Linked DNA regions of Arabidopsis thaliana. The protein of the gene in region 3 interacts with the protein of the main gene of each other region in a pairwise test. Each region holds a gene or a part of one and is shown on either strand. Other genes may lie near its edges. The genes, in order: AT4G29930, AT5G10570 and bHLH071.

Region 1 (8,724 bases), on a different chromosome or scaffold from region 3:
TAATAAATAACTTAGAATCATAGGAGAATATTTCATTTTATTACATGTTATATACTTATCATGTTTTTAAGAAAATGAAAAAGTTAGGTTAAAGTGGCTATACGATATTACGATAAGTAGTAGTAGTACAATGTTCAACTATTGCAGTCAAAAAAGCATTTTTCACCTTTTACATCTTTTATGGATAGTTTTCACTATTTTTATAACTTAAAAGATGAAACTTTGGTTTCATATAAAATTCTTTTGATCATCTAGCGTCGTATCCAAAACTAAAGATCATATACGTATCTTTAGTTTTGTTTATATTGGGAATATTAACTTTATTATCTATTTATTAGTGTCACCTTTGCTGTGTAATGTGTATCTCCGTATATCTATGTCTCATACTTAGTGATAAATGATTTTTTGCAGAAGGATAAGCTTACAGTGAAAACAATAATCCAATTTCTATGAGGTTAACAAATATGTATATATATTTTAAAACCTCTAAGAGGTTAACATATTTTTAAACGTAAATATTAGTTGCTAGTCGAATTTCTTTTTAACAAAGATTGGCACAAAAATTAATGCCCAAAATATGATTTTATTTAGTTGTTACCAAACTGCCTATAGTTTGATAAAAAAATTATATATAAAAAGGAAAATTAAAAAGGGAAACGAAAAACGGAACAAATCATTGGAGAGGATCGGTCAAAGAGGAATAATTAAGCTCTTTCTTTTTAACAAATTTTATTGTCATTCACTTTTATATTTGTCTTTTGTTGGGTACTGTTGAACGAATGTTTCTTTACTTCCATCACAAGACAAATAAATAACTCAATACGTCGCAAGTGATTCTTTATATTCCTAACTGTCGACTAGAAAGAAAATAAATATCATAGTTCTTTGACAAAAAAAAAAGAAAATATCATAGTTACTTTACTCCAAAATTATAGCCTATGACTAGACTTGATTGGCCATAGAAAATACTTACATATTATGTTATGATGGAATTTCTTCAGTAGCTATTCAATTCTTGTTAGGATACGACGCTATATTATGATGGAGTTTCTTCATTATTTACATGTTATATTATGATAGATAGAACAAGAAACAAAAATAAAAAGCTTCTATGTAATTAATTATGGAAACTTTCTTTGGTAATTTTTGTTTGGACGTTGTAAATTACTTTGCTGTTTTTTATTTTATTTTTTTTTGTATATGTTGCGTTTTCGTTTATTGTTGATTTATATATTCATCTAAACGTGCTTCCAGTTTTAAATAAATTTATTTTGTATTTGTAAACTTAAAAGGCCACATGGAAAATTTTCAAAACTTTACATAAATGACTGAAATTACAATTTACACCATTTTTCTTCACACACTTAAGAAGAGTCAAGACTAAATTTTGGAACATTCAAACGGGCTAAACCATTAAGCATCTTTGTCTGGGCCGAACTCAAAATATATCTCTGTTCAATCCGTGCCTTCAGCCCAACATGTGTTTTTTCAGCCCAATAAGTTTCTTGCATGTTTTGAAATAAATAATGAATTTTAGTCGAATTACTTTCTCTCATATCGGCATATTTTGTTCATTTTGTTTGATGAATGGGTTTAAGTCGTCGAAGTTGGTTAACCGATATCGTAACGTAAGATTGAACCGGAGTTTCAATACTCGTTACATTTTTTCGTATTCTAGCTAACGTGAACGGATGTTGTTTATACAGCTTTCTACTACAAAAGTAGATTTCAAAATTGAACTGCGATTTTCTTCTTACTCTTCTAGAAACACTTCCTCATATTTAATAAGAAACGAAAGAATTAGACTCCGACAATATTGGGAATGTTTAGTTGTCATTTGGACCCAATATAATCAATTCCATACATTTGCAATTGCAAGGTGGGTGAGTCATCAAAATTTATGAATCTTCCAAAGATTATAGATAGAACAGCTTTTAATTAGCCTAATAAACAAAAGGAAATACGATTATGCATACAAAATAAATTAAATATTAAGACTTTTAATGAATTCTTAACCAAAACCATATCAAGTCATATCATACACTATCCTCCATACACGTGGTAGCATACATAAGTACGTTAAATAATTTTATTTAGCAAATAATTTTATTATAATCATCTTTGATCACCAAGATCATGTTGGGCCATCCAAGCCACGACTTTAGTAATGTGAAAACAATATCATAAGGAACGAAACACTGTTCATTTCATACAATTAAAATACAACTTTTTCCTACACATTTTCTCAAGAGTTTAGTAAGTGAGAGACGAATGATTTGAGAAAACAGTTTTTACTTTTTTCGATTTGTTTCTCAAACTCAGTATTTTCGGATTTCTAATCCAGATTAAAAGTTCTGAATAAAATCACGGGGTATGGAGCAAAGCCGATATAAGTAAAAACCTTTCCATATTGATAGACACTAGATTTTTTTTTAGTTCATAAGATAGATACTAGATTTAGTTTGAGTATAATGGATTAATGTGGAACTAGTTGTATTGTTTAGTATGTGTATGTTGTATGATTTAGTGACCGTCTTCAGTTTTCTTGATGTCTTTCCACGTTTTACAAATTCTTGAAAGAACTGAGAACTCAAATGTATGATACATAACCATTGAAAAAAATATTTCCACCATCATAAATAGAGTTTTACGAATCGTTTCACAACTTTTAATTCAGTTGACACCATTAAATAATCAATATTTCTTTAGTTACAATTCAGTAGAATAAAATTGCATATGCTATATTATCTAATTCTATGAATATTTTCTGTCTATGATATTTGATTTTTATATACTTTAGATTTTGGATCACCCCCACATTATTTCGCTTTTCAGTCACATTTTGTGTTTAATATTGCTAGATAAGTCCGTGGTTATAGCTTACTTTGTTAAAATCATATATCTCAACTTATTTCATAACAGTATCTAAAGAAGATGGAATTTTATAAATATATAGACACTCAAAAATCAGAAGAAAATATATATCCACAAATAATAGAAGAAAACATAGATTTACTGCATTCAAATCAAGGGACATGAAAGAATATCCTGGACCCAAGTGGGTTATATTTTCAATAAAATTTAGCAAAAAAAGTTGACAATCAACTAATCATCACCATTATTGGCCATAATCATTACGTACGCATACACATAGCCACGATGTCTACCTATGTTTAAATCTTTGAATTCTGAAACTACGTATCTTTTATTTTTGTTTAAAAAAAACCTAGTACGTATCTTCTTTCCTTACTTAGACATCATCTTCTAACTTTAAGGATCGAAATTAGAAGAAAAACAAATGATTAATATCTACAAGAACAGAATTTTGCATTTATACTCAGATACTCTTCTAGTACCTCACAAAAATAAAATGAAATTGGAATTGAACACGCCCTAAATTCAAGTACTATACGGTCTATACCCATTTGAGTATATGAATAATGCATATTGTGAGTGAAAGAGATAGATACGATACACTCTTTTCTTTGTTTTTCAATTGGACAAAAGGAAACAGATTTTGATCTCTGAATTGAACGGTCAAGATCGTATATAATTATTTCAGGAGATTAAGATCCCACGTGCTTAAAAACTCTCTGTCAGACTCTTTATGTATAAAATCCTCGGCCCACTCTTGTTTTGATAGTACACTCAATAGAAAGACACAAAGAAAGAAAGAAAGGACAAACAGAAATAACAAAACCTTCCATTTCAAGAAAGCATCATCTTTGTGTGTCCGAAAAATGGAAGATCTCGACCATGAGTACAAGAATTACTGGGAAACCACAATGTTCTTCCAGAATCAAGAACTCGAATTTGACAGGTGCTTACTAGAATCTTGGTCCATTTTTTTTTTTTTTGTTTCTTTAGTTTTTTTTTCCGATAAAGATTAATCTTGCTTTAGTTGGTAATTAATGAAAATTGTTATAAATTATAAAATTTAAGTTGGCCGATGGAGGAAGCGTTTTCGGGTTCCGGCGAGTCGAGTTCGCCAGACGGAGCGGCAACGTCGCCGGCTTCTTCGAAGAACGTTGTCTCCGAGAGAAACAGACGGCAAAAGCTTAATCAGAGACTTTTTGCTCTCCGGTCAGTTGTTCCCAATATAAGCAAGGTATGATTAATTATTCCATTACTTCTCTTATTTGTTTAATCAACTGTCTCTTTTAAATTTAATTTGTTATCCAAATAATTTAGTAATAAAGTTTCGTCACCAGCAATTTTTGTTTTGGTCAACAGAAATTAAATAAGCGAATAAACTTTCTCTTCTTTCTTTTGTAAAGAAATAAAACTATACAAATACAATCTGGTTAAACCAAATCCAACCAACATTAAACAAATAAGCAAACCAAATTTTTGATACTCTAAATCCATATCAAGCCATACTAAAATGTATTTTGGTCCCCTAATTACCCTGATAGCATATAATTGTATACGTGTGATGATTTGTTGATTAAGACTGGATTTTATTGAAGTATTAATATTTATCTATTTTTAGTTGGACAAGGCATCTGTCATCAAAGATTCTATCGACTATATGCAAGAACTTATTGATCAAGAGAAGACTCTAGAAGCAGAGATCAGAGAGCTAGAATCACGGTCAACATTGCTAGAAAATCCGGTAAGAGATTACGATTGCAATTTTGCGGAAACTCATCTGCAAGATTTCTCAGACAATAATGACATGAGATCAAAAAAGTTTAAGCAGATGGATTACAGTACTAGAGTACAACACTACCCCATTGAAGTTCTCGAAGTACGTACTATGCATTATTTGGCAGTACATTCTAAATTACCTTTCTTTTGAGGTAAAGTTAATTATTCCAAATTGTTTTTATATAAACATGAAAAAACAGATGAAAGTGACATGGATGGGAGAGAAGACGGTAGTGGTATGCATAACATGTAGCAAGAAAAGAGAGACAATGGTGCAGCTTTGTAAAGTGTTGGAGTCTTTGAATCTCAACATTCTCACTACTAACTTCTCTTCCTTCACCTCTCGTCTCTCCACCACCCTCTTCCTCCAGGTCACTCTCTCCCTCTCTCCCTCTCTCATATCTTTATTTGGCAATGTGATTACTAGTACAAACTACAAAATTCTAAATGCATCTAGAGAATACTGTACGTGTCTTGTTTTGGTTTGACGCTCATTTTGCACTCATGGAGCGAAATTATAAAATGTTAATGGAAAGAGATGATAATATAGTTTAGAAGATTCTTGCTAATAAAGAATGTTAGATCAATTGTAATCAGCTATAAAATTAGTTTTATGCACTTGTCGGACTATAAAACACACCAACCAAATATATTTGTCCATTTTTAATTTGTCGCAACTATTCAGACTTTTATATACCAAATTCAAATCTTACTATTTTCTTTTCTTTTTGGTTATTTTGGGAGAAAAATGGTCGTCTGACGGCACGTAGACAAATCCTTTAGTGGACAAGAATTAATAATATGAATAAAAAGCATATGACTAAGTGCTTTAGTAAAGTGGATTGTTCTTTTGTTTTGGTAAAGAAAATATGTTATCTTTACGTAATAGTACAAAAATGTAATTCAAACTTACGAATTGTTTGGAAAATCACTATCAAATTCAAAAGGATAACCTTTAGACGGACCCATTTAATTACTACTTTTCTCCCACCTGTCTCCATTAAGTGGACCTTAATTCACATTACACCTTAAGTATATATAGTCAGTAATATCTTAATCAATCAATTAAAGCTCCAATTATTGAGGTTGCCTCGAGCCCATCACATTTTTTTCGAATTTCGCCTTGACTTTTTCTGATAGGGTTAGATTCTCTCAAAAGTTAAATGTCATATTCCATAAAAAATTAGGATTAACTTAATCAAAAAATTAGTGTGTGAAATCTCAAGTGCCTCGTGTCCCAGAAAGTGCCGTCCAAGCATAGTAGCACTAGAAAAACGTGGCTAATTTATAACCTCACGCGGTTCAACGTTTGTCTCTTTCACACTTTTAGCACGTGACTTTTCTAGCACTACACCTTATATCAATTCTTAACTCAAATTAACAATAGGCTACAAATCAACTGTAGCCAATTAGCAAGTTATTTGTGTTAACTAGTTGTATATGGTTCATAAGGTCTTCATTATGCTAATCATTTTGGTAAAAATTAGTTACTCCAAATGATATCCATAGCAGTTCATGGTAGAAATTAAGGTTTGGTCCTTTTTAATATAAGCAGATTTGTTAAGAGTTATTATTTTGTGTTTTTACTCTAAAAAATACAAATTCATTTCATTATCTCTATCTATTTGATTTGTTTATCATCATCATATACTAGGACTTTGGTGTAAACAATCTAATTACAAAAATGCTAGTTTCGTGAACTAACGTTCTATTTTTTTTGAAAAAGGTAATTATATTATAAGCTGTAGGTTGGAAATTTTTGATGACAACAAATACGAGTATTTCTTGCCTCACAAATGAATATAATATTATGTTGGTTTTCTTTGACAAAAAAGAATTATGCACCTTTATAACATTTTCTTGATAAAAGATAATATAATCAGACGCTAAAATTACAGTGAGGTATAGACCAGTGGAGTCATTGAGAGTTGGTGAAATCATACTCCAATCATTTATCAAATAAAAAGTCGATCATTTCATTTCAAACCTGTCCTTATCCGTCCTTTTAAAGATTATACAAAAACATTAAACAATGATTTATCCACCAATCTCATTTTCCACGGGAAATAATTATAGTAGTAATGCGTGCAGGTGTATATACACAAATTTATCAGTTCTAATTTTCTTTTTACGTGCTGCCAAAAAAAAAGAAGTTTTTTTTGTCTGATTCGTGTAAAACCTAAACACCCCTAATTTTAATAATCTATACTGACGTTGGACTTCCTAGAATCCTAATTTACTTCAAAATTCTGTAAAGATATCGTATGATTGAAATAATATAGGACTGTTTTAGTTTATATTGTGATAGATGTATTAATTATAGTAAATCGTTGAATTTGCAGGCGGATGAAGAAGAAAGCAGTGCAGTAGAGGCCAAGATACAGATGGCCATCGCAGCTTATAATGATCCAAATTGTCTTATCAACTTCTAATTTACTTCTGGTTTTTTACTTAAATCCGTTTTATGCAATATATGTGAAGAGCTACTATTGTGAGGGTTTATTTGTTTGAGCTACAAAACATCCGATGTTTTCTAATAAAATAAAACAAAAATATGCATGTTCCTTCTTATAATCTTAAAAATTATACTTCTAAAAAAATCATTTGAATTAATTGCAATCATAACCGAGTATAAGAAGAAAAAAACATAAAGAAATATGGTTAAACTAAAAAAGCAAATATGACTTTATAAAAGATTTTGTGGATACTTTGTCTTTGAATTGATGAACATGAATCAAATGCATATTGTAAGTTGCAAAATAGAGAGACTTGCCATTTGTTTCAATTTGATCTGTAAAGTTAGGCAACAAATGTTTAGTAAACTCATAAAAGTGACAGTAGGCTTTGTTAAGGAGTTATGTTCAGATAATTGCAGATTTGTAAACAATTTATTCTTACCGCTATATACACTCGGTCTAAAAGCTTTCTCTATAACCATCATCTTTCTATGATTATTACTTGGTTGAAACTAAAAATATAGTTGCCAATCTTACTCTATCTGTAAGAACCTAAATCTTTCAGCTTTATTATTTTTTAAACTAAAATTAAAAGCCAAAGTTATTTGGAAAAAGGGAATTAAAAAAAAAAAGAGAATAAAAAACGAAATGTACATAATTCAAAAAAGAGAGCTAAAAAGTTCCATTAAAAAAAAAATCCCAGTTTTATTTTTTTCTGGGGGATTTTATCTGAAGTTTAAATGACACATACAAACTGAATAATACACAAAACTACATTAGGTACTCTCTTAGACTACGTTCCAAAAGAATCTAACAATACCAAAACTTCTGCAAAGGACTTTTTTCTTTTCTTGATATATATATATATATTGTTACCTTTTCTCCTTGATCTCTGCTATTGGAACATACACTACTGAGTCTTCTTCAAGTAAAGGAGAAGAAGAATTGCCTAACTTTTTTCGGCCTTTTGGTGTTTTAAATCTATCAAGCCTCTGCGTCACGTCCAGTAACTTGTTTTCTGTTCTACAAAGCATCTCCATTACTGCTTCCAATTCTTCCTCTTCCGTCATCTTTCTCCCCGTCTCCTTCTCTTCTAAGCTCATTTCGTTGCTTAGCTCTTCATGTGACTGAACACAATAAGAACAAATAAACTTTAAAAATCTACAATTGTCTAAAACCACTTGTCAAACCAAATTCATGGAAGCGATACTTGATCATGGTTTCTTTAATATAGATATGTTCAATAAACTCATTTTGGCGAACCAGCTAATTTCATTTTACCTCTTCCGTCATCTTGCTCCCTGTCTCCTTCTCCTCTACCGCTGTACTTAAGCTCATTTCGCTGTTTAGCTCATCATGTGGCTGAACATAATAAGAAAAATAACTTTTAAAATCTGAAATTGTTTAGAATCACTGGTCAAGGCAAGTTCATGGAAGCAGTACTTAACCATGGTTGTTAAATATCAGATATATATGTTCTATCAACTTATTTTGGCAAATCGGCTAATTCATATCTTACCTCTTCCATCATCTTGCTCTCTGTCTCCTTCTCCTCTACAGCCGTCTTTAAGCTCATTTCTCTGCTTAGCTCTTCATGTGGCTGAACACAATAAGAAAA
Region 2 (7,107 bases), about 16 Mb from region 3:
GCTGATATGTGTCTTCCATGTCCTGTTCTGTGACCTACTAATACAGAGTAAGCTAGACTCAGTGTTCGACACAGAACCATGGAGATAATGCAAAAGCCAGAAGCAATATAACTAGTTAAATTCTGTTTCATGAACACCAAAGAAAGGTGCATTCAATAAAGTCTATAGATTTAATTCTATTTTAGGTCAAACCTGATCCACTAAACCTGAGAGTTCTCAATTAAAATCCAATTGAAGTTGATACACAAGCTACACATAGTGAAGAAAAGAGTTCTTAGTCTTACCACAGCATTGAAGTCGTATCTAGTGAAATTCCCCCATTTTTCCAAATCATAGGCAGTGAAATGCTTACAACAAGCAGATAACATGAGCTTCCCATCAGCATCATCATCATGACGATCATCATCAACATCATCACTAAATCTTCTTTTCAAAACCTTCCTTTTCTTCTTCTCTTGAAACCCTCTAACGAACTCAACTCCATACTCGGAAACTACCTTCGGATCCTCACCAGGAGTCTCCTGTCCTCTTCCCCATCTCGGATCCCTAAACACATTTATATTCGGAGCCCAAAACGTCAACCCAGCTTGACCACCGTTGTACATAGCCCGACCTTCCACCGCAACAGCAGATCCAATCTCGTACCATAGCGTTCTATTGAAAGATGCAGCAGATACGATTACCTGAGGAAAACTAGTAGCGGCGGAGATCGAACCGTTGAAGGAAACTCCGGGACCGTTATCGGCGAGTCCGTGTAAAGACTCCGACCACCACTCGTACGGAGGAATACCGAGACGGGGTACTGAAGCAGCTGTGTTTGAGAGCTGACCTATCTTCTCTGGGAGCATGAGGAGGGAGACGAGAGAAATTGCTCGTTGTTTTATGGATAAAGAGACATTGCAGAAGGGATAAGAGCTAAAATGAGGAGGTTTACAAGGGAACTGTGGATGAGAATCGAGGTTTTTGAAGGTTTCAGCTATGGCGGAAGTGAAGAAGAGTAAGGAGATTAGAGTCAACTGAAGATTCATATTTTGGAGGAAAATAAATCTGTAGAGAAGAGTGAAAAAGGAAACTAAAAGGTATAGTTTTAAACCGAACTAAATAGACCGGTAAAATCTAAATTAACAGTTGGACCGGTTGGTTCACTGCTGTTTCTTGTTACTTGTCATTTGACGGACGGTAGAGGGGCCAAATCATTATGGGCCTTTATCTAATCGATTTATAGTAATTAATTAAGATCAGTGAACATTTATGAATTGGGGCTTTATCTAATCAAGGTCTACAATTTTTGTAGACTAATGCTTGAATAATTTTACTTTTACAAATGGGTGGGTTTCAAGTGTCTCTAGCTAGTTGACAAAAGAAAACATTAAATTTTATTTTAAAAAAATTAAAAATGATAGTATTTTAAAATTGTATATAAATTTTTTATTCACAAGGATTTAAAAATATTAATTGTAAATAACAAAAATTTTAAAACCACCAAATTTTATGTATTGTAGTTATATTAAAAGTCAGAATTATTTACTTTGGTGTAAAACTCTCTAAAATAAATGAACCGAAAACTCAAAACCCAATATTGAAACTTAACTAACAACCCCAAAATTTTCAAATATGCATCCATAGTGGCTTAGTCATGGTCACATAGCACATAATGGCTGAAGCTTATTCACGTGTTTCATCTTTTCTTATCCCTGCTTCTGCTTGCATGCATTCACCTTGAAAATTGTGTCATTTTTTTCTTATGGTTGTTACTTTATTTTATTTACTAAACCTTTGTCAACCCAACTGTTGATCCCTGGTTTTAGTTAAACCAACAATTATTAGGATAAACACATACTTTTTAAAAAAAGTCAATGGGTATCCAAGAATGATTAGTTTAGAAATTTAAATATATGAAATTTTGTTAATTTTCAATTTAAATGTTGAGAAATGAAAACAATGAATTGTCAAAGAAAAGCAACTTATATAATGCAGACAATAATGATATCCGATTGAGTAGTAAATAATGGAGTGAAGATAGAGTAGGAGACAGTGTGTGTCCACAAACTCTCACGCAACTCGCTTCTGATATAAGAAACAAATTTCTTTGACTTAAGCCTTCTTCGATCTCTTTGACCTGTCAGTCTTTTCTTTTTCCATATTAATACAATCATACACTGATACACCACAATGTAATAATTTGCGGAATTATGTCTATTAGAAGAGACACGGGTGTTTATTTTTTCCCGTAATTGATCGATATCGTCGGATACGAGTACTTTTGAAATGGCAAAAACTCACAATAATATATATCTATTCAAGATTTTTCCATGTTATTAACGTTCAGTGCCAAAAGCCTATCCAATAATAATAATAAAAAAGCAAATATGATGGCAGCTTCTCAATCTCGAAATCTAGACCATTATCTCTTACTTTTGTAAGCATCTGATTATTCATATTTGATATTTCTAATATTAAATACCATTCGTATCATATACATAAGTTGACTAAGGAAGAGAGCTAGATGATGATGTTCATTCATTTTGGCCGGGACATACTTTGTGGGTCAGATCATTTTTCCGATCAAAGAGAACGTATAAATTACTTAATATCGTCACTGAAAACGAACCATCAATAATAATACGATTCAGACAACAACACAAAAGAAAACGATATTAAGTAAAAAAAAAATTTCATCAATCTCAGCTTATGCCTCATAGGTTGGTGCTGGACCATGGATCAAAAACAAACACACTAAATTGTAATGTTTTCTAGTGGATCTCTCCTTAAACAACTAGACAAAACTACTTATTTGTATATATATTTTTAACTATTAAAATCCACTTTTTATGTAACAAACAAGTCATAAATATACATATGTCAAATGGAATAAAGTAATTCTAATCAGTTAAAAAGTGAATTCTTCATTACAATTCACACTTATGTAATGCATTTACATGCATTTGTATCTTCTTTGACCCCAAGCTCACAAACTCTGTTCACTTCCACTTTCACAAATAACAGAGTTTCAGAAAATAGAGAGAAAGAGAGATGGAAACGGAATTGACGCAATTGAGAAAACAAGAAAGCAACAATCTCAACGGCGTTAATGGAGGATTCATGGCGATTGACCAATTCGTCCCAAATGATTGGAACTTCGATTACCTCTGTTTCAACAATCTTCTCCAAGAAGACGACAACATTGATCATCCTTCTTCTTCTTCTTTGATGAATCTAATTTCTCAGCCACCTCCATTGCTTCATCAACCACCACAACCGTCGTCACCTCTTTATGATTCTCCGCCGCTCTCCTCCGCTTTCGACTATCCTTTTCTCGAGGATATCATACACTCCTCTTATTCTCCTCCTCCATTGATCCTTCCGGCTTCGCAAGAGAACACCAACAATTACTCACCATTGATGGAGGAAAGCAAGAGCTTCATAAGCATCGGAGAGACTAACAAGAAAAGGAGTAACAAGAAGCTTGAAGGTCAGCCTTCGAAGAATCTTATGGCGGAGAGACGGCGGAGGAAACGGTTAAATGACCGACTCTCCCTGCTCCGATCCATTGTCCCTAAAATCACCAAGGTCAAATTCCATAAACCTCATCCTTGTCACATGTTATATGGTTTTTATTTTTAAGTCAAGAAGAAATATTCTTCCTTTTTTGTTAAGTTCTTAACGTTACATGTATGTTTTCTTCTTGTTGAAATCTTTTTTTTGGTACACTGTTCACTGATAAAAGGTTATTGCTTTTTGTGAATCTGCATAGAGTTTGTTGTATGAGAAAATGTATATAATTTTTGATGATTATTATATAATAAAATCAGATGGATAGGACATCGATACTAGGAGATGCAATAGATTACATGAAGGAGCTTTTGGACAAGATTAACAAGTTGCAAGAAGACGAACAAGAACTTGGAAGCAACTCTCATCTAAGCACCCTCATTACAAACGAATCTATGGTCAGAAACTCCCTAAAGGTAAAAGCTAAAAACAAAACATAATGTTATTATGGTATTTGTGCTTCAGTACTCATAAGTCTTGTGTTTTTACAAATTCATCCCATTACAAATCATTTGTTACAAACACCCTCATCATATACTTGAATCAATTTGATTCCCATTAGATATCACTCAAAAAATTATAATCACTTGAAGGTGCAGACAATTTTTCTGGCTATAACGAAAACGAATCTTTTGCAGTTTGAAGTAGATCAAAGGGAAGTTAATACGCATATTGATATATGTTGTCCTACGAAACCGGGTTTGGTTGTATCAACGGTTAGTACATTGGAGACTCTAGGATTAGAGATTGAACAATGTGTCATTAGCTGCTTCAGTGACTTCTCATTGCAGGCTTCTTGTTTTGAGGTACAAATATTATTACACTTTGATTTAGCCTTACTTGGTGCATCGACAAATTAAATGTATATTCTATAATTATTTTCTGTTATATTCTGTTTTTTTCGTATATATGTAGGTTGGTGAGCAGAGATACATGGTTACTTCGGAAGCTACTAAACAAGCACTAATCAGAAACGCAGGTTATGGAGGAAGATGTCTGTAGGGGAGCTTCAAAATTGCAATGTTTTTTAATGATGATAATATTTTCCGGTTCTTCTTATTCTCTTGTGATGAGTATGATATTTCATAAGGAGATAGATAAATGGGAAAATCAAAGGTGTAAAAAGAACTCATTGATGTTTACCAATTAGTCTCCTCGACTGACCCCTCGGTTTCTAATCCGACTCATTAATAAAACATGCAAAATAGAGAGAGCAGAAATGTTAAAAAGAGTTTTCATTTGGGCCCAATAAGCCCTGTTATACTAAAGCCCAAATAAAGTCCACTAAAATTCTGCCAGCTTTTTGACCTAACGAGCTCCATCCGTTTCCTCTTTAAATAGCTGCGTCTAACTTTGAACCCTAATCAAGTTATCCGAGAATCGGCCACTCAAAGCTTATTATCAATCTATATAGTTCGATAGATCTCTGTGCTAATTTTTTTTCTTGCGATTTGTTTTTATGGTTTATGTGTTTTGGTGGTTTTTTTAATGTCAATCGGGACTGGAGTTTGACTCTTTAGCAAAATAACGATGCCATAGAGATGAATGCAGCGCCCTAAATAAAAAAGACCACAATCGGAGATCTATCTCAGTTCTGTCCGAAATCGATTCCCTCGATATTGGACGCTGAGATAGTTCTCACATGTTTTAATCTCTGCTTGTTTTTATTTGATTTTATGAATGATTATGATATGATTCGTAATGGGAGCGGTGATTCAGGCAACCTACTTGTTAATAAAACAATGACATGAGAGGTGTTTAACTGCTCCTAGATCAAATTATGCTTCTGCTCTTCAGACTTGCTGAGATTTTATCGTCTTTGAAGCTGGTCTAGTAGTCTTAAGCACATTCTTTCAATCTATATGGCTATTCCACTTTATCCGTCCCAATTCTGATGTGTTTACAGAAACCAGATCTTGTCTGATTGTGTTTCGTCCGGTTTATTTCGGATTCCTAAAGAAGAAGGGTTTCGATTGCACCTAGGCCCATTTCTACCGTCTATAGTTATTGTCATTGGTCTACTGGACATGAAAAATTATATTAATGGATATGACATGTCTATTTTACTAATTAGAGGAAAATATCTAATGTATCTGCACAATCCTACATAACATACCAGGCGATTGTGTTATGAAAATAAGATCTTTCAAAAGGGACAAATTTCTGTAAGAACGTCGTGTTATGTTATAAAAAAAGAAATTTTATTTTCCCTTGATTCCTATAAAAAAAAGAAATTACATAAGGGTTGATTACACATAGGCCCATTTCAAGCCTTTCTAGTGATGGGTCACTCGACATGAAAAAAGATTAATGGACTTTATAGGTCTAACCGCAGTCGTTGTAATTCTTGAACATAATAAGATTATCAGAGGATTTATTTTGATCCAAAATTTGTTTTTATACCTAACTTATCCTATATTCTATATGTTTAATGGTTTATAAAACATAGTTTGATAGTTTGATATGGTTATGCGTAAATTTTGAATAAAGTTTTATTGTCACCATTCAAACTTAAAATAATACAAAACTCATATAATAAAAAAAGGTAAAGACTGTAGACTAAAAAGAAAATAAGATAAAGTTTTTTTTTATAAAGACACCGCCACTGAAAACCTTAATTCATTTGGTAGAAAAAAAACAAGTTTTAAAATTTTGTCCACTTATCAAAAGAAATTTTTATTTTAAGTTTAAAACATAACTTTATAATAAAGACACAATTTGTTTTTGTTTTTGTAACTATTTATTCTGATTTAAAAATATTATAAACGAGAAACCAGATCAAAATAGCAGATAAAACAGGACTCTTTCATTCGTCTTCATTTTTAACACACAAATCTTAAATCACTTCTTTACGCCGACAAAATAAAAATAATCACATCTTACATATACAAATGTAAAATAGAATTTTTAATAGTAATCTGTAAGCAAGCAGGTGAATAATCATATAGAAACAAATCAATCTTAAGACAAAAATGTAATTATTTTTCTATTAAAATGAACGGTGAACCCAAAAAGTATGCACAATTAACTAAAAAGGAAAAATATGGGTAGGTTAGAGCACTAGAGGTTTGTGCGAGTAGGTTAGGTTTCGAAGTTTATACACTAAAATATATGGTCGAATGTGGACCTCACAATTTCTATTTGCTGACGAGAGCTTCCTTATTTGTTATTATACTCATATAAGATGAGCTGTTTAATAAGTTAATAAATCATAATTAAAGCAATCGTGTAAAAGATTAAGACATGTGAGTGCTTCATTTCTTTGCCGTAGTGTTGTTGTTAGTTAGTTATTGGGTCGCACGAAGCCACCACCCTCTCTCTCTCTTTTTCTTTGTCCCCAAAGAAGACAAATCTTTAAACGATTGGTTTAGGCCGTGAATACTGTTTTTAATTGTTGTTTTTTCTTATAGTGCAGATACTGTATTTAATTACGTATGTGTTAAATTTAAGTATTGGCACGATAAGAAACTTATTCAATTTCATTATTAATTAGACTATAAACTTGACTGGGGTCTAATTTTGTTTGTTAGTATCGTCAACAAAAATATTGTATAT
Region 3 (7,419 bases):
TAGAGATGAGTTCACTTACACTTCTGTTGTGCATAATCTATGCAAAGACGGACGGCTTGTTTGTGCTTCGAAGCTGCTCTTGTCGTGTTACAATAAAGGAATGAAGATTCCGTCATCGGCTAGACGAGCAGTGTTGTCCGGCATACGGGAGACGGTATCTTACCAAGCAGCAAGGAAGACACATATCAAAATCAAAGCAGCTATTGAGTGTAATACACTAATGTACCCTTAAGACATTGAAAAGTATCTAATAGAAAAATTATTGAATTGTACATGAGCATAAGGGATGTTTTCATACTAAATTCTAGTCGAGATTTGACAACTCTCTTAACCATTTGAATATTTGTAATATTAGCCAAAGTCTCATCAACCATATCAATGACTCGAGTTATTAAGCAACAAGCTCTTCAATATAGCTAAGTTTTTGATAATTTATCAGTTACTTTGTTTAATTTTAGTCATTTGATTAGAGTTTTGGTCAGAGTCTTTTAAGAATTAAGGGACCAAAGTAACTTCAGACAAAATGACCAAAGACACCACTTTTGAAACCACTGGTCCCAAAAACGAAGCCATGTTACTCATGTGCTGCTTCTGAACACAGTTAAAAAGCTAATCTTTGAACTATGAACCTACTCTCTAGAACTTTTTACTATTTGGGTTTCTTTGTTTTTAACAGAAAACAGTAAAGTTTTTTTTTTTTTTTTGCAGAGGACTAAAAGATAAGACTGAGTCTAGTCTCTCGACGTGGACAAATCTGACAAGAACAGTTACTGCTCTTCGTCCTCTTTGTTGTTATTGTCGTCTCTCTCTCTCGGACTTTGTAAAATGTTACACTGACTTCTCTTAATCTCTCTACGTAAGTACAAAGATCTATTGCATGTTAGAGATGATGTTTTCAGAATTTTTTTAGAGACATGAACACGTGTTTGTTTGTTGATGCAACGAATCAGATTAGAGTAGACACGTTTTCTAGGTTTAAAAACATTCACAGGAATCTTTTTAAGTTAAATTCTTGATAAGAAATAGAGACGAGTTTGTCCAAAAAAAAAAAAAAAGAGAGATAGAGACGTTGGAACTTGGAAGCAAAAGGTTTTTGTTGCTTGTCAAAGAGATTAAGAGAATATAGTTTTGAATTAACCAACAAATAGAGTCTGATTAATATTAAGTGTGTATACTTTACTTAGCATAACAAATGTGAATTGTATTTAGCAATTATAAATACTGAGATCATCCAAAAACCCTAGTGGTGGAAACAAATCGAACCGATAAAACAACTCTAACCCTAAAGGTCGTCACAAAGAAATCTTATATGAAAAGACTCAAAATAAACCAAAAGGTTAATTAAGAGAATAAAAGGAGTCTACATACTAGATACCTTAAAACTAATACTATTGTAGTATTGTTTGATTTTCGCTTGCTATTGTCAAATTCGTGAAAGTTAACATTTTCCCTTTTTGGGTATTAGAGCAACGGCCATTGTTGAGTGGTAAACGAATAAACAAATTTAGTAATTGTAGTCTAATTATAGGTCGTTAATTTGGTTTTGTACACTTTATCACTTGTAGAATTTTGCATGGAGTGTTTTGTTTCTGTTACCGAAAATATTTGATTGATTTTGTGTCCGGAGCTGTTGTCTAATTCGTGAAAGTTAACGTTTTTTGTTTTTGTTTTTGAGAGATCTGACAATTTGTATCAGAAAAAAACAAAAAAGTGCAGATAGTTAAAAAGTAATTTAAATAAATAGAGAAATTTGTTTTAAATCACGGGTTGTGTTTTTTACCTTCATAGCTTCTTCTGGTCCTTCTAATGTGCAAACAAAACTGACTGATGAAATGGAGACAGTCCTTTTTTAATTATAAGCATACAATTGCAATTAATAATTACTCACTTTTCCCAATATTATAAAAAAAAATCTTATGGATATATATATATTCAAGAGGAAAATAAATAGCAATTGTGAGATTTTGCTTTCTTCCAGCACTCATTTGTCTCTTTACGTGTATGTTATTGTCCGGTCCCCACGGTCCAACATTGCTAAATACCTAACCGGTTTGGTCCCATTTGTTTTTCTTCTTGAGTCGAATATTTGGAATTTGGTCTCCATTTAGATGATTGAGTTTTCTTCCTTTTTTTTTTTTTATCGAATACCATATCACATATATACGCTTTGTTTTTGCATTTGCATTATAAAAGTCTTCAAACATTTTTCGGTAAAATGCCAACGCATGATCTCAAACGTAAAAATGAGATTCAACTATGCAAACAATTGCGTTAACATTTCTGTATAGAAGTCTGAGTTTTGCAACGAACAAGAATTACATATGGTTCCTTTTGGGGGTTGCAAAGAGTTGTTTTTAGGTTGAAACTTGAAAAATGTAAAAAGATTAAAGGTTTTTAGAGTAGTGAAAAGGGTAATTAAGTGAAAAAGAAAGAATGGTCCACGATTTCGAGAAAAGAACAAGACCTTAGACTCTCTCTGACCCCTCTCACGTGCCACCAGCACTCCATTGCTCTTCTTCCTTCTCTAATCCTTTTCTCATCTATGAATATATATACATATGCATTTTATATTTATTTATACACTATGAGTTAATCAAAAAACAAATTGTACGTTATGATTTTAGGTAAACGATTACAATTTATACAGCTTGTGTCATTTATTTTTGCCAACTCCTTAAACATATATCAAAGCATGGTAAACGTAGTCTTTTCTTCGAAGTCGATAACTTCATCGGTTAAACCTGGCTGAACTATTAACCTATATCGAGTACATGTGGTTTATGTTTCCATTTTCCAAATTCTTATATAAAATAAAATATATGATCAAAATAGATGACTCGAGAAAAAGAAAAAAAAAAACATATATTGAGAAATCATATGATCTTTGTATCTCTTCTTATCATAATTTAGGTTTGTGATAATAAGTTAGTCAAGTGTACGAATTGCAACTGATAATATGTGGAAACATGAAAATGAATATATATGTGATTATGCATGTTTTTAGCAATAGTCAAGCTTTTACAAGATTTAATAAGAAAAAGTATGGCATTCAGCAAAGTCCATAATTAAGTTTTCTTCAGAAGTACCCTTCCATGATAGTACCGATCACAATCAAATAATGTCTCACATGTACACACACTCAGAGCACCATAGCTTCAACGTTTGTCAAGAAAAAAATTTCCTTTTAATCATTGCCTTTTATTTTTTCGAAAATGTCGTTTTCGCCCGCAAATATTTATAACCTTTATATATTTTTTTCGAAAACAATAAATTAAAGATTTGGAATGTTGCTATATAAATCAATGATACTTAGTAATTCAATAAGGAATAAACTTCGTGAAGAGAAATGACTCTAGAAGCTTTATCATCAAACGGTCTTTTAAACTTTTTGCTCTCTGAAACTCTTTCACCAACTCCATTCAAGTCTCTCGTCGATCTCGAGCCATTGCCGGAAAATGATGTCATCATATCGAAGAACACAATTTCGGAGATATCTAATCAAGAACCGCCACCACAGCGACAACCACCAGCTACGAATCGAGGGAAGAAGCGGCGGAGGAGGAAGCCTAGGGTTTGCAAAAACGAGGAAGAAGCTGAGAATCAACGAATGACTCACATTGCCGTCGAAAGAAATCGAAGAAGACAAATGAATCAACATCTCTCTGTCTTGCGATCTCTCATGCCTCAACCTTTTGCTCACAAGGTTTAACTTTTATGGATATATATTCTTTTTAATGTTTGTAAAGTTTCAAGTAGGGTTTCAATTTTTATGGATAATTTTTTTAAATGGTTTACTATTTCGATTTGGGTTTCAATTAATATTTACAATTCACTGAAAAAGATTAAATTTTCATCTTGAGTTTTATTTTTTATGAAAGATTCATTCTAACGGTTTAAATCTATTTGATTTTCAATATTTATGGCCAATTCTAAAAAATTGATTTTTTATTAAATATATATTTGGGTTTTTATTTGTTTACTTATATGTTGTTTTGGTGGATTTATTTGTTTCCCCATGAAAGGGTGATCAAGCTTCAATAGTTGGTGGAGCCATAGATTTCATCAAAGAACTTGAACACAAATTACTATCTCTTGAAGCTCAAAAACATCATAATGCTAAATTAAACCAGTCGGTTACTTCTTCAACAAGTCAAGACTCAAATGGTGAACAAGAGAATCCTCATCAACCATCTTCACTATCTCTATCGCAGTTCTTTCTTCATTCATACGATCCGAGCCAAGAGAATAGGAACGGCTCAACAAGCTCGGTGAAAACCCCTATGGAAGATCTTGAGGTGACTCTAATCGAAACTCATGCTAACATCAGAATCTTGTCGAGAAGAAGAGGTTTCCGGTGGAGCACGTTGGCCACCACCAAACCGCCGCAGCTTTCGAAGCTGGTGGCTTCTCTACAATCGCTGTCCCTCTCCATTCTTCACCTTAGTGTCACAACATTGGACAATTATGCTATTTACTCCATCAGCGCTAAGGTAATAAAATTAAAACCCTATCATCTGAACCGGACTAAACCGGATTAGTTTCAATGCAATTTGTGCGGTATTTAGATCAAACAGATTACAAGATAGGACATTTATGCTATTTACTCTATCAGTAACTGATGAAAAAAAAAAAAAAACTCTATCAGTAACTAGGGTGATACAAACCGGAGCTAAACCGGATTTGTTCAAATGCGACTTGAGGGGTATTTTGGGAATATATGTTAGGAATTTAAAGCTAGACGGTCGATTATGTGCGGTCCAAGGGACAGAGCATATAAAAGGAATGTCTATGAGCTCTTAACTAGATTTGGTCCAACATTTATTACCATACTTGGTGGAGTCATTTTTCTTATTTTTCACCCATTTCTTGAAAACAGGTTCAATTATTGCCACGTGGGTTATAAAAATTGTAACAATTTGAAGCTTTTTTCAAATTCACATTATGCTATTTTTGTAAAATCATTTTCTTATTGGATGTTGAAAGGTGGAAGAGAGTTGCCAGCTAAGTTCAGTAGATGACATTGCAGGAGCAGTTCACCACATGCTAAGTATCATTGAAGAGGAGCCTTTTTGTTGCTCATCAATGTCAGAATTACCATTTGACTTCTCTTTGAATCACTCAAATGTCACTCATTCTCTCTGAGAAATCTCTTTTTTGTTGTTGTTATTCCTTCTTTTAATTTTATCACATAGCACATCTTTAGTTTTTTTTTTTCAGAATGAAGAAACACATAAGCTTTCTTTTAAAATCCTAGGTTCTTTTTCTGACTTTGTAAAGGCTAAATGTGAATTTATAATGGCACATAACATATTAGTTGTTTTACTCTTAATTTTATGCATTTTCTGATAGTAATTAAGTTATAAATTAGTACACTTGTGAGTGTTTGAATTGTTTTATATATATAACTGGATTCTTATATATACAAATCATCAAAAAATTTAGCTAGGCTCTCGATCTTGGATATTAGTTAGTAGAGAGTATATACTAAAAATCTTTTTAAGTGTGTTTATAAAATTTCAAGGGCTAAACAGATGATATTTTATGGAGATAGTTGTCAATTTAAGAGGCTAAGTTGTAACATGCAAATGGAAAAATCTAAAGAAATCAATTACGTGTTAATGTGTAATCGTATTAAAATCTTTTTGTGATAAATTAATTTGGATATTCTGTTACAGAAGATTTTAAGACATCCGCCATCATTGCGAGTGAGATTGTTGTGTTCGGTTGCTTATGTTGTTATATTACCATCAACATCCACGACACTATTTTATGGACCTTTCTCCAGTGGCCCATATTAATAGTTTTAGATATGGGCTTTATTTGATATATCCGTCTAGCTTTAGGCCACCAAGGCTGGCAACAGAGGCGAGAGTACTTCACTTTAGTATTCGGACAAGGTTTATATTTCTCCAAAATTGTTTGCTATCTTTCGACTTAATTTGCACTCATACTCGATAGGATGATAAATGCTCATCATTTTGGTACAATACACAATTTTTTTGGTACCCGCTGCTTTTTTTTCGTTCAATGCTTATCATATTCGACTTTACTCGTAACCGACGATCTTTGTACCCATAAAGAAGTGGAAATCTTGACTTTTCTTCACGAAATAAAGATTCTCTTCATTATCTCCTTTGGACTCCATGCGAATTTGGTCAACATGTTCACATTTTCCACATAACTGGTTCGTTCTAAGAAGGGTATTGTTGTTTATTATAAAGGGAATAGAAACAAATTTATTTTGTTTTTAGATTGTTAGCATATATACAATTAATGTCTGTATATAAAAAGAAATTAGGATATGTATTTGATTTTTGTTTTCTGTTCTATTAATATGTACCTTTATGTGAAAAATACTTGCATTTGTTGAGAGAACACGAAAAGATATACATAGACCCGCGTAATCTCTCCCGTTTAACTAAGATTGTTTAGGGCTGGGCACAAGGCAAGTACTTGCCGATTTGGAGGTACTTGTGACTTGACTTGCCTTGTCAAAGTAATTGGATTTTTGGCTTGTTATTTGCCTTGTTAAAACGAGTACTTGGTCTACCAAGTATTTGTCTAAATTTTAATTACTTGCAAGTTACTTGACCCACCTTGTTACTTGTCAAAATTAAATACTTTTACTTGAACCTAAAATATTTGGAATAAAAAACCCTATTTCATACATAATATTTAAGGTCAATGAGTTTTGTTATAATAAATTTTAAAATTTTAGCTTTTATAGACCAAACCAAAATTATAAATTTGTTATAATAATTTAAGCATTAGTATGTTAGTAACAAATATACAATGTTCAACAATTAACAAGGTAAGTAATAGAAAAAAAAAAAATCCAGACCTAATTATTAGTTATCCCACAAGTCACATGTACAAATAACGAGTAACAGAGCAAGTAAAAGGACAAGCATCAAAATGATGCAAGTAACGAGGCAAGTAACGGGATAAGTATCAAAACGAGGTAAGTAACGAGTCAAGTATCAAAAAAAATTATGATACTTGATACTTGGCTTGCTCTTGCAAGTAATAAAATAAACCGACTTGTTACTTGACTTGCCTATGACAAGTACTTGAATTTTCAAGACGAGTACGAACCGAGTAGCGAGTAATTGCCGAGTAGCGAGTACTTGTGCCCAGGGCTAAGATTGTTTGTAATAATGAGGATTACTAAATATGGTCCTTCGAGATGGGACAAAATATTTGCATCGGCTCTTCCACACTAGAGATGCATCACAACTGCATATAGAATCTTCTAACACAATGGAGTTCACAAATTGTTGTGGAAGTTAATGTCTCCCAAGTTCAATGAATCTGTTTGTTTGTCTTAATTCAGGAGATAACTTGAGCAAAGAGAGACCTCCATGTGGTATTATCCACTGCACATAAATAAAAAGGAATTTCAAAATAAGGTTTGTAAGG

What was found.
Region 1: the proteins of bHLH071 (region 3) and AT4G29930 interact in a two-hybrid assay, tested with the Arabidopsis thaliana proteins (one large-scale study listed by BioGRID).
Region 2: the proteins of bHLH071 (region 3) and AT5G10570 interact in a two-hybrid assay, tested with the Arabidopsis thaliana proteins (one large-scale study listed by BioGRID).

The regions. Positions count from the first base shown.
Region 1 is NC_003075.7:14,640,368-14,649,091, forward strand, and holds AT4G29930 (basic helix-loop-helix (bHLH) DNA-binding superfamily protein), read left to right. Parts: upstream 1-3,626; 5' UTR 3,627-3,740; coding exon 3,741-3,820; intron 3,821-3,942; coding exon 3,943-4,108; intron 4,109-4,492; coding exon 4,493-4,750; coding exon of another isoform or gene 4,751-4,801; exon of another isoform or gene 4,802-4,850; coding exon 4,851-5,138; 3' UTR 5,139-6,992; downstream 6,993-8,724. Other genes in the region: PRHA (pathogenesis related homeodomain protein A), read right to left, coding at 7,979-8,233, 8,388-8,468, 8,626-8,706.
Region 2 is NC_003076.8:3,338,324-3,345,430, forward strand, and holds AT5G10570 (basic helix-loop-helix (bHLH) DNA-binding superfamily protein), read left to right. Parts: upstream 1-2,876; 5' UTR 2,877-3,033; coding exon 3,034-3,570; intron 3,571-3,812; coding exon 3,813-3,968; intron 3,969-4,190; coding exon 4,191-4,358; intron 4,359-4,467; coding exon 4,468-4,554; 3' UTR 4,555-4,756; downstream 4,757-7,107. Other genes in the region: AT5G10560 (Glycosyl hydrolase family protein), read right to left, coding at 1-34, 285-1,028.
Region 3 is NC_003076.8:18,942,293-18,949,711, forward strand, and holds bHLH071 (beta HLH protein 71), read left to right. Parts: upstream 1-3,250; 5' UTR 3,251-3,346; coding exon 3,347-3,703; intron 3,704-4,022; coding exon 4,023-4,490; coding exon of another isoform or gene 4,491-4,538; exon of another isoform or gene 4,539-4,983; coding exon 4,984-5,142; 3' UTR 5,143-5,345; downstream 5,346-7,419. Other genes in the region: AT5G46680 (Pentatricopeptide repeat (PPR-like) superfamily protein), read left to right, coding at 1-232. UniProt on the Arabidopsis thaliana protein: Transcription factor. May be involved in the differentiation of stomatal guard cells.